Rhinolophus ferrumequinum: one gene and its partner. The protein of the gene in region 1 purifies or fractionates together with the protein of each later gene. This does not show direct contact. Links are inferred from orthologs where the notes say so. Each region holds a gene or a part of one and is shown in the gene's direction. Other genes may lie near its edges.

Region 1 (7,018 bases):
TTTTATAAATTTTATTGGGAACATTGGGGGACAGTGTGTTTCTCCAGGGCCCATCAGCTCCAAGTAGTTGTCCTTCAGTCTAGTTGTGGAGGGCACAGCTCAGCTCCAAGTCCAGTTGCCATTTACAATCTTTAATTGCAGGGGGCGCAGCCCAGTATCCTGTGCGGGAATTGAACCGGCAACCTTGTTGAGAGCTCTGCGCTCTAACCAACTGAGCCATCCGACTGCTCCTCTGGAAGCTCAGTGGCAGCTTGTTGTCTTCAATCTAGTTGTGGAGGGCGCAGATCACTGGCCCACGTGGGAATCGAGTTGGCAACCCTGTTGTTCAGAGCTTGTGCTCTGAACAACTGAGCCATCTGGCCGCCCCTCTTTGCTCTTATTTTTGAGGAAGAAAGGGCCCTCATGCTTGCCAAGACAAATCACTGTGTGCTGGGTGTCCTCCCTTTTGGATTTCAATCTTTTTCCCCCCTCTCCACCTTCTCTTCTGTTTACAAAAGTGTTCAGATATGCCCATTCTTAAAAAAACAAACAAACAAACAAAAACAAAAAATACCTTTCCCTCATTCTTGTCACCCCCTGTGTCTATTCTTGTATCTCCTGCCTCCTTTCCTTGCCGGATGTCTTGGACTGGTAGTCTGTAATCACCGCTTCATTGCCCACACAGGTCTTCAGCTTTTGAAATCTGGCTTTTCTCCCCACCATCCTACTGAGAACTGTTCTCTAGAAGGTCTCTTGTTTGTAAAACCCAGTGACTTTTTTTCTGTTCTGATTTCTGAGGCTGTAGAATCTGACAGTGTTTATTACCATGTTCTTTAGGCTCACCACTCCCTGGGCTTCCAGAACACCTTTTTTATCTCCTCTCTTTTTGACAATTGTTTTCTCCTCCTTAGGTAGCTTTTCTTTTTCTTTCCCGCTCCTGTGGCTTCAATGGTAACCTCTATGTAAAACTCCCTGAAGTTTATCTCCAGTTCCAGACTATCAAATTTCAGACCAGCATTTCCCTTGCTTGCTGCACATTTCCTCCTGAGCCCAGGATAGCCACACACCTGATCCAGTAGTCAGTATCTTCTCTTATCTAGTTCCTCTTTTGGTTTTCCCATTGTTAATCACACCACTATCATTCAGGGTTCTCTGACTTTTGAGTCTTTCTTCGGCCCCAGATTCAGACACTGGCAAACTCAGAATATTCTACTGTCACCTTATTTCACTACTGTCCTCTCCTTTCCTTTCCCACAGCTACTTTGGTTTTAGGTTTTGTCTCTTTTAATGGGTTTCTCTGTCCCTGTTTCTAATTCTACCCTAGTTTGTCTCACAGACATTCTAGGTTAAGGTATATCTCTTGCACTTTCCTGCTCAAAACCTAGTAATATTTTTTAGCTCTACTTGTAATGAATTAAGTACAGATCCACAATTTGGCATTCAAGACCTACGCAATAAGGCAGAAAAAAAATAAAATGGAATTATATCTTATACAAGTAGTTTGGGAAACACTTGAAATAAAAGCCAAAACAAATTAATTGTCAATGTAATTATACTGTCCTTACAATTTAGTACAAGGGTTCTAAGAAAAAGAAATTAAAAAAAAAAAACAAACTATTTTCCCAAGTGAAATATTTCTCAGAACTCAAATATTTCTCAGAAACATGTATAAGGAGAATGACAATTTAATCTCTGCGCTAAATAGCACAAATCAGTTCCTTAACTGACAACGCTATCTGCTGTACTTGTTGACATATTTTTAACTCAAATATGGTGCAATGGAAACAAGATTTGGGAAATCAAGAGCTTTGTTTTCTAATTCCAAACCTAGATGATCTGGCTTTTGATAAGTCATTTAAAATCTCTAGGCATTAGTTTCCACATTTGTAAACTCGGGGGTGGGACTCTGTCAGTTCTTGGCTGCATATTAGTCACCTGGGGAATGTGTTTCAAGCATAGCCAGGCCCAGGATCTCTTGGGGATTGTTTCAGTAGGTCTGGGGTGGGGCCCAGATATGGGTATTTTGAAAAAAGCTCCTCTGCTAATTCTAATGTGTAGCCATGGCCGAGAACCACTGGACCTGTATCAAGTGTCTTCAGCTTTAACAGAGTCATTTTGGGATTTGCCCTTCCTTTCAATTACAAGATAATTTTCATTTGAATTGACTTAGCACATTCTACCTCATGTTATAATTATGGTTATTTTTGTCTTGCCCTGTTTCCTCGGCTGCAGGTTCCTCAAACACAGAATATCTTACTCATCTGTGTGTGTTTCTTGTTCCTTGGCACATGGTACTTACTTTAGGTTTGTTAAATTGAATGAAGAGTTAATAAGCCTTATTCAAATAATATCCCCTTCCCTTAACAAAATAAACTGCAACTGAAACTAAACAAAAACACCTAATTCTACAGTTCTTGTTAATTTGTGGGTGAGATGCTTTGTAGCTGAGGTTTAGGAAGGGGAAGCTGAGGTGCTCAGAAGCTCTGAAAATACTTTCAAAGTGAAATGTTGGTTGAACCATGGTTCTTACGTAATAACGTGGGTGTTTCGTTTTATCTACAATTGTGTTATGTGTCTGAGAATGTGTACGAAGTTTTGTAGGCAAATGACTGTTGCAGTTTAAACTGTTGCAGTTTAAAATAAATAAACAATTCATTGAGGAGTCCTTGAGCAAATAATAACATTGCTCCGGGAAGATGGGGATTATTGAAAATCTATCACAGGAATGGCTGTGAGGATGAAATATACCGGTGATTATGGAAGAGGTGGCTGGTGAGAGAAAGCAGTATAAGGTATTATTCTTCAGTGCCCGTAGGGAAGCTCTACACTCTTGTGCCATATTTATGCAAAGAGACTCAGACTAGTACCATGAATAGTTTTACTTACAGTCTCCCTCCAAATTTTAAAAATCCAGTTAAAGTGAGTTACACATTCTTTCTATTTAAATTGAGGGGTCCAGCACAACTGCTAAATGCCCTATGAGAGCACTATAATTCTTCAATAGATAACTTTTAAAGAGGATTAGAAGTTTTAAAGAGTTGCTGTTTTATGGTCTTTCAAATTCTTGAAATAAAATTTGAAGTATGGAAAATGCAAGGCAAAGCTCTCCGGCTGGAAAAATTAACACACTTCTGGGGTTTTTAACAAATGGCTAAATGACTTAAGACTCTTTGACTGTATTTACAGAAATAAAGGAAATGCACAAAATACATCACCATTTAACATATTATCTTTATAACTTGGGCTCTGGGAACTCTCCCTGCAGTATTTTTTCCATGGCTGTAATTTATTCTCTGCCTTAAATTTACATAAAATGTAACCATCTCCCGTTACAGAAAAGACAACCAGGAGAAAATTGAGTTTACCGAAAAGCAGAGCTAGAAGTAGAAAAGAAAGAGCTTTTCTTTTAAAAAATAATTATTTTGAGAGAATTGGCATATCACTCCATGGCTTTTCATCATGCATATACGTACGTACACGTGTAATATATGTTATAAATACACATCCACACCAACTCGAGGGTAAAAAACGGACATAAAAAACTACCACAATCAACTGAAACATTTATCTTCCCTGCTGCCTTATAAAGAGATTGAATCTATAAGAAAAGCTGAAGCAGAATCTGCCATAAGTGGCCCCTTGGGAGGCGAGACTCGGGGGTTGGTTTATTAGTCTGGCGCGTCTGTTGCAGAGGAGGCAAAGCGAGTCGGACCGCCGCGCGAGAACGCCCTCCGGGCCGCGCCGTGCGCGTTCCTCCAGCCCGTGCACGCAGGGCCGCCCTGTCACCTCCCAGCGTCCCCCGCAGGCGGCCGAGGGTCCACAGCCCAGGATCGCCGCCGCCTCACAATCAGGGCCGGGCGCCGGCCTGACGTCACCTTTCCGCGGCCCGCCTACTGCTCCGGGAAAGAAGCGGCCGCCCATTGGCTGCGCCGCTGGCGGCCTCCGGGCCAATGATAGGGCGGCGAGCGGTGGAGTCCGGCCTTGACGTTGTGCTGCTCGCTGTGGAGTTTATTTGGCTCCAGAGCCCCTCACCGCCGCCATTAGGAGCCCGCAGCGCCCGAGGACGCCCCCTTCCTCTGCTCCCCCTCCCCCTCGGGGCCCCCTCGCCTCCGCGCCTGCTCTCTGCCCCTCTGCCCCGGTCTCCGGCAGTCGGGAGCCGTGCGCGGCCCACGGAGACCATGTCCTGACTGAGGGGGGAGGGCGGAGGCGGCACGGAGGGAGGCGGAGAGGGGCCCGGCTCGGCTCTTCGCCGCGGGCTGCTCGGGGAGTCGCCGCTGCCGCCGGACGCCGAGCATCGGACTGGGAGGAGGAGCAGGAGCTGGAGGAGGAGCCGCCGCCACCGCCAGGTAATCGGGCCCGGGTGGGCGCCTCGCCGTAGGCCCCTGGCGGCCCCCATGGCGGCCTGCCGGGCCCCTCGCTCCTGGTGGCGCCCGGGTGTCCTGGGCCGCCCCCTCGCGACCCCCGGGGCGGTGTCGTAGGCTAGAGGAGGCCAGGGCCGGGAAGGGGCCACGATCTGCTACCGCCGTGCTTTCATCTTGGGCTTTCCCAGTGCGGGTGCGGGAACAGGCCCCAGGCTGTGGGAGGGTGGGTCCGCCCGGCTTGTTTACCGACCATGGATCTCCTGCGGCTGGACTCCCTGCCTGCCCTGCCACCTCTCTTCCGCCAGATTCTCCCCCTCCCCCATCTTTTCCTGCCACCTACGGGGGGAGGGGGCGTGAGTGGGGTTTCGCTCCCACTCTGTAGCAGGCCCTAGAATACTTGGGTCCATCGCCACAAGTTGGTGCTGGTCTCCAAACTTGTATTTCGGTCTCTTGGCCGGTTCCTCCCCTCCCCTCCCGTGGTAGCCTCAGTTGCTGCCATTTCTGTCTTAAGAAAATAAAGGTGTGTGGGGTGGGGGACGGGTGGGCTGGAGGGGCTGCAACTAGTGCGAAGATTGACGACCGTCTCGCTCCCAATAATGATTGTTCCGTACAAGTACCTGTTATTTTCTCTTCTCTACCGTGGCTTGATGTGTGGGTCGTTTCCCAGACAAAAGGACTGTAATGAATACTTGCATTAAGCACAAGGGACAGGCAGTTTAGGTTCAGCCTGGAAGTTTGAACCGGCCCTTGATCTGCGAGATACACTGGTGTTTTGAAACTGTCTTGTTGAGAATTTTGAAATTTCAGTCAGTTGATTTCCCTTTTCCATAACTTGGTAGACTATCAGGTCACACGCCGTCCCCTCTACCCAATATTTTGGTCTGTCTGCTCAAAGTAAAATCGATGGTGTCAGTAAATTTAATGTACAAAACTATCGTTTTAGGAACACAATCGAAGAGAAATCTTTAGCTCTTGGATATGTTATATAATGAGTGGTTCTTCTGTTAGTGATCTCTTTTTAGCTGACTTCTTTATCACTTGGGCGACCCTAAGGGTACCCCTGTTTGGATCAAACATGGATGACTCAGTGTGCAAACTATAAGGCAGGGGGAACCATAAGGAATTTTGATCTTGGCTTATGCCAGGGGCCTTGGGAAAGTCACCTAAACTGTGAAAAATAAAGCTGGATCTCTTCCTGATTATTATTATTATTATTATCAATTATATGAGGTAATTATAAAGAAATGGAGACCCCTGTTCCCCACTGATTTTTGGATCTTATGACAATATATGCAGTCACCTTGTACTAAAATTTCATAACATTGTTTTTATTGGGCTATTATGGAGACTAAGAGGATAGTAATGAGACACTTTAATCTTTGGGGAGGATATTATTTGACTGTCAGGGATTTCTGTTTCTGTTGATGTTTCAACACCTTTTATCACTGGGAGCATTGGGACACCCATTTATTTACTCTCAAAATGTGCTTGGGTTAGTATGACGTCATTCCTGATGGTAAATTTTAAGCTTATGGCCTTGATCCAGCTCTGTACACTGATAAGGGTTATGGCATACACATTTAAAAGTCTGAGGATTAATATAGATTTGGAATTCACAATCTAGTTGTACAATATTTGAGGTAAATTGCCCCCCCCCCCCGTGATTGATACAGTGAGAGCTGTTCAACATGCTTTATACTTACATTGCTTTTATAATAAATGGAAACTTTAAGTGGGAGTTGCAAAAGTAGACCACTGTAACTTTGTATTTAACTTGGTTCACTGTTACTTTTTGAGGACTGCTGCTCATGTCCCTCGTCCCCCAATAATAAGTTCTTGTACTTGGGCTTTGAACATGTTTTCTCTCACTGATGTGGCGTTTCGTTTGGAATATTTGTGCTCTGCTTGGGCTTTGGTAAATAAGATCGTGCACATTTTAACACTCTCACATCCTCACATCACAACATAAAAACTTGCAGAACACTGCTTATTACATGCAAAGTTGAAGTTCCTTGGTGTGGTGTTCAAGTTTGTCTGTAAGCTGCCCCGATCCAGTCTTCAGACTCAACTCTTATTTCTTCCCTTGTGCATCCTTAGTTTTAGCCAAACTAACTTGTTTGTTGTTCCTGTGAAGTGCCTCCTTTTGGCCTTTTTTTACGCCATTCTTTCTGTTTGAAACCCTCTTCCGCTTGTTTTCATGGATATTCTTTACTCTGGGCCCAGTTGATTCCTGTCTCTTTAGAAGCCTTTTTGACTACTTGAACCAACCCCAGTGGATCCATTCACTGCTCGCTCGTGTGGGACTCTTTTGTCTTTTGTTGTTTTTGGTTTTTCCTTAGCAGATGCTACCCTGGATTTCAGTTTCTCTCTTTATATCTTTATTCTGCTTCCCAATTCAGGTTTTAAGACCTCTGAGAAATGATATGAACCCTAAATCCTGTATCTATGGAGACCATATATTCAGTACTGAAAGTATGCATATGCGGTCTGACAAAGTATTTTTGGTTATAGAGGTATTATAGGATGTGCAGTTTGTACTGTTCTAAGTATTGGAGTTTCTGGGATTTTGTTGCTTTAGGACAAAATATTTGAAATTATGGCTCTCTAACAATTTTTTTTATTATCAGCACGGCTCTTCCTATAGAGGATGCTCAACATTTTGATAATGATCAAGTCTT
Region 2 (7,403 bases), on another chromosome or scaffold:
GCTTACTGGTTGGGCATACACATTAATGTTTTAAAAGATTATTTTAATTCTGCTGAATTAAAGTTCTGAATAAGGAATGAGAAAGAAAAAAGAATAATGGTTAAGCCCCTAGTATTTATGAATTTTACATGTGTGATTTCAGTCGTGTGAACTCTATTACAATAATAGCTATCACTTTTCACTGTATATTGTATGTGAGGCCCTATGCTAGGGAATTTACATTTCTTCTCTCATTTAATCTCATAGTGACTTTATAAGGTAAATATTATTCTCATATTAAAAATGAGAGACTTGCAGCAGAAAAAGGTTAAGCCATTTGTCCAAGATGTTCCCATTTGGAAAAGTGTAGAGTGGGGAAGATAATTTAGGTTTAACTAATTATAAATGTCATGTCCTTTCTAGCTATTTTTTCAGAATTTTTTTTTCAAATTTAAAAACATTTTGCTGTAGTGTTTGTGAATGCTCATCGAGAGAGTCTTCTGGGATTCCTGAAATGTTTCATGATCTGGGCGGTGGTTATATGTAAGGATTCATTCAGTTTGTGAACGTTCACTGAGGTGTTCACTTATCACTTGTGAGATTTTCTCTGTTATATGTGATAAAATGTTCTTTAAAAAGTACTTCATGCTGAATACAGAAAATGTGAAAGACATAAGCACAAAGGGGGAAAAATTCACAGGTCTTTTGTGGTTCCATATAAATTTTAGGTTTGTTCTATTTCTATGAAAAATGTCATTGGTATTTTGACAGGGATTACATTGAATCTGTAGATTGCTTTGGGTAATGTGCACATTTTAACAATATTAAGTCTCCAAATCCATGAGCATGGAGTATTTTTCCACTTATTTGTGTCTTCTTCAATTTCTTTCCGTAATATCTTATAGTTTTTGGTATACCACTCTTTCACCTTGGTTAAATTTACCTGTATTTTATTACTTTTGACGCAATTGCAAATGGGATTGTTTTCTTCATTTCTTTCTGATAGTTCATTGTTAGTGTACACAATGATAGTTCATTGCTAGTGTAAACACAACAGATTTTTGTGTATTCATTTTGTATCCTGCAAATTACTGAATTCATTTATTACTTCTAATAGTTTTTTGAAGGAATGTTTATGGTTTTTTGTTTATATCATATCATCTGCAAATAGGGACAGTTGTACTTCTTCCTTTCCAGCTTGGAGGACTTTCAATTCTTTTACTTTCCTAATTGCTCTGGCTAGGACTTCCAATACCATATTGAATAAAAGTGGCAACAATGGATATTCTTCTCTTGTTCCCGATCTTAGAGGAAAAGCTTTCAGCTTCTCACTGTAGGGAATGATGTTCATTGTGGGCTTGTTATATATGGCCTTCGTTATATTGAAGTGTTTCATTTATGCCCACTTTGTTATCATAAATCGATGTTGAATTTTGTCAAATGCTTCTTTTGCATCTATTAAGATGATCATGATTTTTATCCTTCATTTTGTTAATGTTACGTATCACATTGACTGATTTATTGATACTGAACCAGCCTTGCCTCCCTGGAATAAATCCCACTTAATAATGGTGTTTGATCCTTTTTTTTTTTTTTTTTTTAAAGATTTTATTGGGGAAGGAGAACAGGATTTTATTGGGGAACAGTGTGTATTTCCAGGACTTTTTCCAAGTCAAGTTGTTGTCCTTTCAATCTTAGTTGTGCAGGGCACAGCTCAGCTCCAGGTCCAGTTGCCGTTGCTAGTTGCAGGGGGCGCAGCCCACCATCCCTTGTGGGAGTCAAGGAATCGAACCTACAACCTTGTGGTTGAGAGCCCACTGGCCCATGTGGGAATTGAACCGTCAGCCTTCGGCATTAGGAGCACGGAGCTCCAACCGCCTGAGCCACCGGGCCGGCCCCCTGTTTGATCCTTTTAATGTATCGTTTTATTTGCTTTGCTAATAGTTTGTTGAGGATTTTTGCATCTGTGTTCATCAGGGATATTAGCCTAATATTCTTTTCTTGTGGTAACCTTAACTAGTATTGGAATCAGGGTAATGCTGCCCTTATAAAATGAGTTTGGAAAAGTTCCTTCCATTTCTATTTTTTGGAAGAGTTTGAGAATTACTGGTATTAATTCTTCTTTGGATGTTTGGTAGAATTCACCTGTGAAGCCATCTGGTCCTTGACTTTTGTTTGTTGGGAGGCATTTGATTACTGATTCAAGCTCTCTATTAGTTTTTGGTCTATTCAGCTTCTCTGTTTCTTCATGATTCTGTCTTGGTAGGTTGTATGTTTCTAGAAACTTATCCATTTCTTCTAGGTTGTACAATTTGACCTATAATTGTTCATAGTAGTCTCTTGATCCTTTCTATTTCTGTGGTAACAGTTGTAATATCTCCTTTCATTTCTGATTTTATTTGAGTTCTCTTTTTTTTCTTGGTGAGGCTAGCTAAAGGACTTATGGGTTCTTAAACCATTAAATTTAATTATGTTTACTAGTGTTAGGAATTTAAAGGAATCGTCAGATATGTATTCTATTAGAGAAAAACAACTTTTAACATTCAAAACTTCTAAGATTACTTAAATCCTTCAAATAAAAAAAATATACCATTGTTGCATTATTGCTCCCTTGATACTCTGATAGGTCTGATAAGTAAGAGAGAAAGCAGCATGTTAAAGGAAAGATCAATGAACTAGCAGTCAGGAATTCTGGTTTCTAGTTTTGGCTGTGCCACTTGCTCAAAGCCTGATTGTGGACAAGTCTCAACTTCTTTGGACTTCAGTTTCTTCAACTGTAAAATGAGAGGATTGGGCAGTATCTCAAAGGCCACTTACAGCCAAAATAATTTATGACACTGGTGATTTGGCCAGGCTTGGATCAAATTTTTATTACAATAAAGAATGAATAAAGCACAAACATTCAACAAGTGGGAGAACAAAACTTGCCATCTTGATTTGCAACTAGAGCAGATACAATGTGTTTCCTGTTCTTTCCACAAGTAGTCATGGAAAGGGAGGTGGGAAGAGGACAGGGACAGGGGCAGGATATCCTTCCCTGGCATGTCACTCACCAGCCTATATAATTTTTTCATGGCCACTGGGTCTGATATCCCAGAAGTCCATCCCACAAAACTAAAAAATTACAAATAAATTATTTTGGAGAGAGAATGAGTCCTTAATTTTATTTGCTATATTTTTTTTCAAGCGAGTTCCTTGCATTGGGTGAATTTATATAGTGACATAATTTCAGGGACTTCAGGGAAAGATAATATTTACAGAGAAACACCTTCAAGAACTTTAGTGTGCCTTTGGTAGGCTAATACTGTTGCTAGTTTGTAGGTGAACGGTGGACGAAACTGGAAACTGGACAAGTGAAAAGAGAGAAATGCCCGGAGACCTAAAACATTTCTAGGGAGCAGAAAGGGACTTTGTTCTTTCGAGTAGTATAGCTTTAAGTCACTGTGAGATTGATTATATACTTGCCAACCTCCCTTTGATGACAGGAACTGTGTCACTTATCTTTATATCCCTAGCGACAGATATAACCGACAATTAAGTATTTGTTGAATTGACTTGAGCAAAAACTGCGCGGGCATAAGGTAGGGAAAAAGAGACCAGAATAACATCACCTTGGATATCTGAAACTTTTTAAAAGATTTACTGCAAGATTAACTACAAAGGGAAAGGGACTTCAACGGAGCACTTTTTCAGATGAGATGTCAACCAACCAGAACAGGAAAGAGAGGTCATGAGAGTTCCTTGAAAACTGATCAGGCAACAGGTTTGAACCCCCAACTGAAAAAGAGGAGCGACAGCGATACGCAGATTGGCAGAACTGAGGAGTGTCTAGGGTCAGAGAAAAACCAAAGTCAGAGCCCAAGGGAGAGGCTGAAGAAACTCCGTCCACGGGCCGGCCCAGAGAAGCTTGCTTTGAGCTTGTTTCTTAACAGAACTATCAGCAAGCCCTAAAAGATGTGCAGTACGGGCTGATATTTCAGCCTGATAACTTCCGTGTGTGTGTGTGTGTGTTGGCCTAACTTCCGTGTGTGCGTGTGTGTGCCTGTGTGTGCAACAAGGAGCGCCACCCGTGAACTTCCGCGTGCGACGGACCCCGAAGTGTCGCCCTGCCGCGCCCCGTCCTGCCCCACCTGTGAGGAAACCTGCACTCGCGGAGGGGCGGGTCCCCACCGCCGCGGGCAGGGGCGGGGCCGCGGCGCGTCGGAGCCTTCCGCAGCCCCACAGGCCGCCTCAGCCACGCTCGCCGTCGCCCCGCCCCGCGACTACATTTCCCAGCAGGCCGCAGGGCGCCCGCGCGCCGCAGTTGACCCATTTCCCGGCCCGTCCCGGGCTCGGCCGGCCCCCGCGCCCAGGCGGCTGCTCCCTGCTGACTGGGGTGTGGGCGGGGAGCGGCGGAGGGAGGAGGAGGCGCTGCTGGCCGCCGCCGTTGCCTCCGCTGCTGGGCGCCTGGGCAGCACCCCAGGTTTCCGCGGCCGCCATGGACGAGCAAGCGGGTCCCGGAGTCTTCTTCAGCAACAACCATCCGGGCGCCGGCGGTGCCAAGGGTCTCGGGCCTCTGGCGGAGGCTGCAGCGGCCGGCGACGGGGCGGCTGCGGCAGGGGCGGCCCGAGCCCAGTACAGCTTACCCGGGATCCTGCATTTCCTCCAGCATGAGTGGGCCCGCTTCGAGGTGGAGAGAGCCCAGTGGGAGGTGGAGCGGGCGGAGCTGCAGGTAAAGACCCTCCCGGCCTGGCCCTTTTTATCCCGCCTCTTTGCTCTCTTCCGCCCCGCCCCGGACCCTTTCCCCTCCCCCCTCTGCCCTCGCTGGTCCACTCCCCTTTGCTCCTGCCCATCCTACCCAGAACTGTCCCCTTCCCCCTTCACCTTTGCTTTAGGCTGACCCCACTTCCTTGACTCGGGTTCCCATTCCCGCCCTGACGCGTTGTTTACCCTCCCCGCTCCTTTTCTTCTACTCCTTCCTTCTCCTAACTCTCTCATTTCAACTCTTGCCATCCCTCATTTTAGGTCTTCTCTCTGAGTATACTAATTGGGCTGACAGTAGTTTTGAAAGATGTCGAGCAAATCATCCTGTCCCAGTGAGTCCCATCTTAGGTCTAGAGACGTTCCCCGCCGTAGGTATTGGCAGTTGGCTCCTCTCTGAGAGGAAGGTGATCAAAGAAGACATCAGAAGTTGTGTCTGTGAGGCCTTGACTTAGGCAAGAAGCTGACGTAGGGCAGAAGTGTAACTAGGAATATCAGCTCCCTTCTTACATATGTGAGTGTTTTTTCTCTTTCCCTCTCCCTCTCCCTGCTGCCACTTTTCCTTTAGGTATTTCAGATTCGTGGATTTTAAAATGAAGAACCTAGATAATCGCAATCAGATGATGGTTCAGAGATGGTTTCCTGTTCTTAGAATCAAAAACTTCCCAAGGATTAATTTTATGTTCAGTGTTTTGTGAAATTGACGTTCACTTCAAAAGGAACTAAAAGGGGCTTTAAAGTTGGTTACATTTCCTTGTATAATCTGCAAGGTAAAAGTATATCCAGGGAGGACCTATTGTGGGCTCTTAGAAGAATGAAAGTGAGGCTGATACTTTACGGGCCATTCTGAATTGGTAAATAGGTTTCAGTGGCTGTTCTTACAACTTCCAAGCCATGCACCAATTTCACAGGGAACCTAACTATGCGTAGCTGTGCCTTTCTGTTTTACTGGCTAATCCTGTATGCTGATGAAATCTGAATATACGTTGTTTTGGTTGGTGAAACACTTGTAGTTAAAATGCTACCCAGTGTTTGTTACTCTTTTTTTGGTAACATGTATTTTCCTTGGCACTTAAAAAAATGAAAAGGAGAAATCTGTTAAATAGAATCTGCTGGAACAGGATGCTTTGATACAGTGCAAGTGGCAATGGAAAGAGCAAGGGGACAGGTTATAGTAGACAGGGTTATAGTATGGACTGTGCTTGCTGCTAGCTCTGTGACCTTGAGGAAATCCTTTAACCTCTCTGAACTTCAGTTTCTTCATTCAGTTGCCATAGTGGCAACTGCTTTGAGAAAGATAATTCAGGATACAGGAATAAAGTGTGATAGGGGCAGCTATTTTAGAGGGGGTGGTCAGGGAAGGCCTCTGGGAGGAGTGGAAGGAAGTGAAGAAGTGACCCACAATTTCTAAGATTCCTTCTGATTCCTTTAGTTCTGCAGTTGTATGTTTATATTTGGTGGCTTTTTCATCCCTACTATTATGTTGCTTTTGTATCTGGTCTTTTGATAATTTGTAATTTTTCTTGTAGTGAATCTGACCGTGTCAGTATAGTAACCAGCAGACTTAAATGCTTCATTCAAATATTGGTAATTCACCTTTGTTAGAAGTGCATTCCATAAATGAACTTGTGGATTTCAGACTTAAAGGAAGTGTTAAAGGCAGGTGTTAATTTTAACATTGTTCAGTTGTTGAACACACACACACCACTTACGGGGTTATTTATGGCAAATGTTAAACTTAAGGTAGGTTTCCCATTGGTACTCATCATATTAAGGACACTACATTTCTACAGTATTTTTTGGTTTTGGGTTTGTGCTCAAATTAAGCATCCACAGAGGAACTTTAAAAAATACATCCTATTTTCCAAACAGAGCAAGTATTATGTCTTTTAGAGGGGGAGAGAGTTTGCAGAAATCTATGGTTTTGATCCCCGTATTAGCATTATTGAAACTATATTTTAAAAATAATTTCTTTACATTGACATCGTTAAATTTGAACATATTCCTTCATTTTTCTTTTGCGATTGGAATTTTCCTGGAAAAACAATAGGAAGTAAGAGTTGAATGAGTGATGATGAAATTTGGATCAGTTGGTGTCCTTTTTTTAAATTTAAAATCTCTTCTCAAGTCATTAACATCAAAGTCAACAAAAATACCTTTAAGATTAAGTCTAATGTGTCCCTTCAGGAACCTGTCAGTCCTGCTTTTTCAGGTTGCCAGGTCAGAATTGTGAAAGACAATCCACGCTCTCAGCTATCTACCTGGTCTGCCTTCATCACTTCCTCCTTCAGATCTTGGGAATAAGGAACTGGCCACATTATACCAAAACTTATTTGTCATTTCTTCCCCTTTGCCCATCTTAGTTAATAAGACTCTCTTTTTACTTTTCATAATCCCCCTCCTCCCTAACCACCACCATTGCAGGTGAGAGTAGGTGGTCAAAGAATGGTCAAGATTATTGCTGAGGTTTATATTTGTGAAAAAACTTGGAGATGGGATACATAAAATTCGAGAGAATTTTCTGTGTGTGCTACAATGGGCTAGATGACCTCAAAGAAACATGCAGTCTAGTTGGAGTGATAGAACAAACAAAATGCATAAGAATCGGAGTATTTATTATTTGGGGGGTTTAAATTTTCTTAGACTAGCACAAGAGAGCAGCTAGCAGTGAGTGGGGAGAATAG

Evidence for each region.
Region 2: the proteins of ZRANB1 (region 1) and STRN purify together in Homo sapiens (affinity purification with mass spectrometry; 4 studies listed by BioGRID and IntAct, with this or other methods). This does not show direct contact. The link is inferred for Rhinolophus ferrumequinum from reciprocal best matches to the Homo sapiens genes ZRANB1 and STRN.

The regions. Positions count from the first base shown.
Region 1 is NC_046299.1:6,009,287-6,016,304, reverse strand, and holds the start of ZRANB1 (ubiquitin thioesterase ZRANB1), read left to right. Parts: upstream 1-3,936; 5' UTR 3,937-4,325; intron 4,326-7,018. UniProt on the Homo sapiens protein: Ubiquitin thioesterase, which specifically hydrolyzes 'Lys-29'-linked and 'Lys-33'-linked diubiquitin. Also cleaves 'Lys-63'-linked chains, but with 40-fold less efficiency compared to 'Lys-29'-linked ones.
Region 2 is NC_046296.1:46,312,710-46,320,112, forward strand, and holds the start of STRN (striatin), read left to right. Parts: upstream 1-4,312; 5' UTR 4,313-4,456; coding exon 4,457-4,690; intron 4,691-7,403. UniProt on the Homo sapiens protein: Calmodulin-binding scaffolding protein which is the center of the striatin-interacting phosphatase and kinase (STRIPAK) complexes.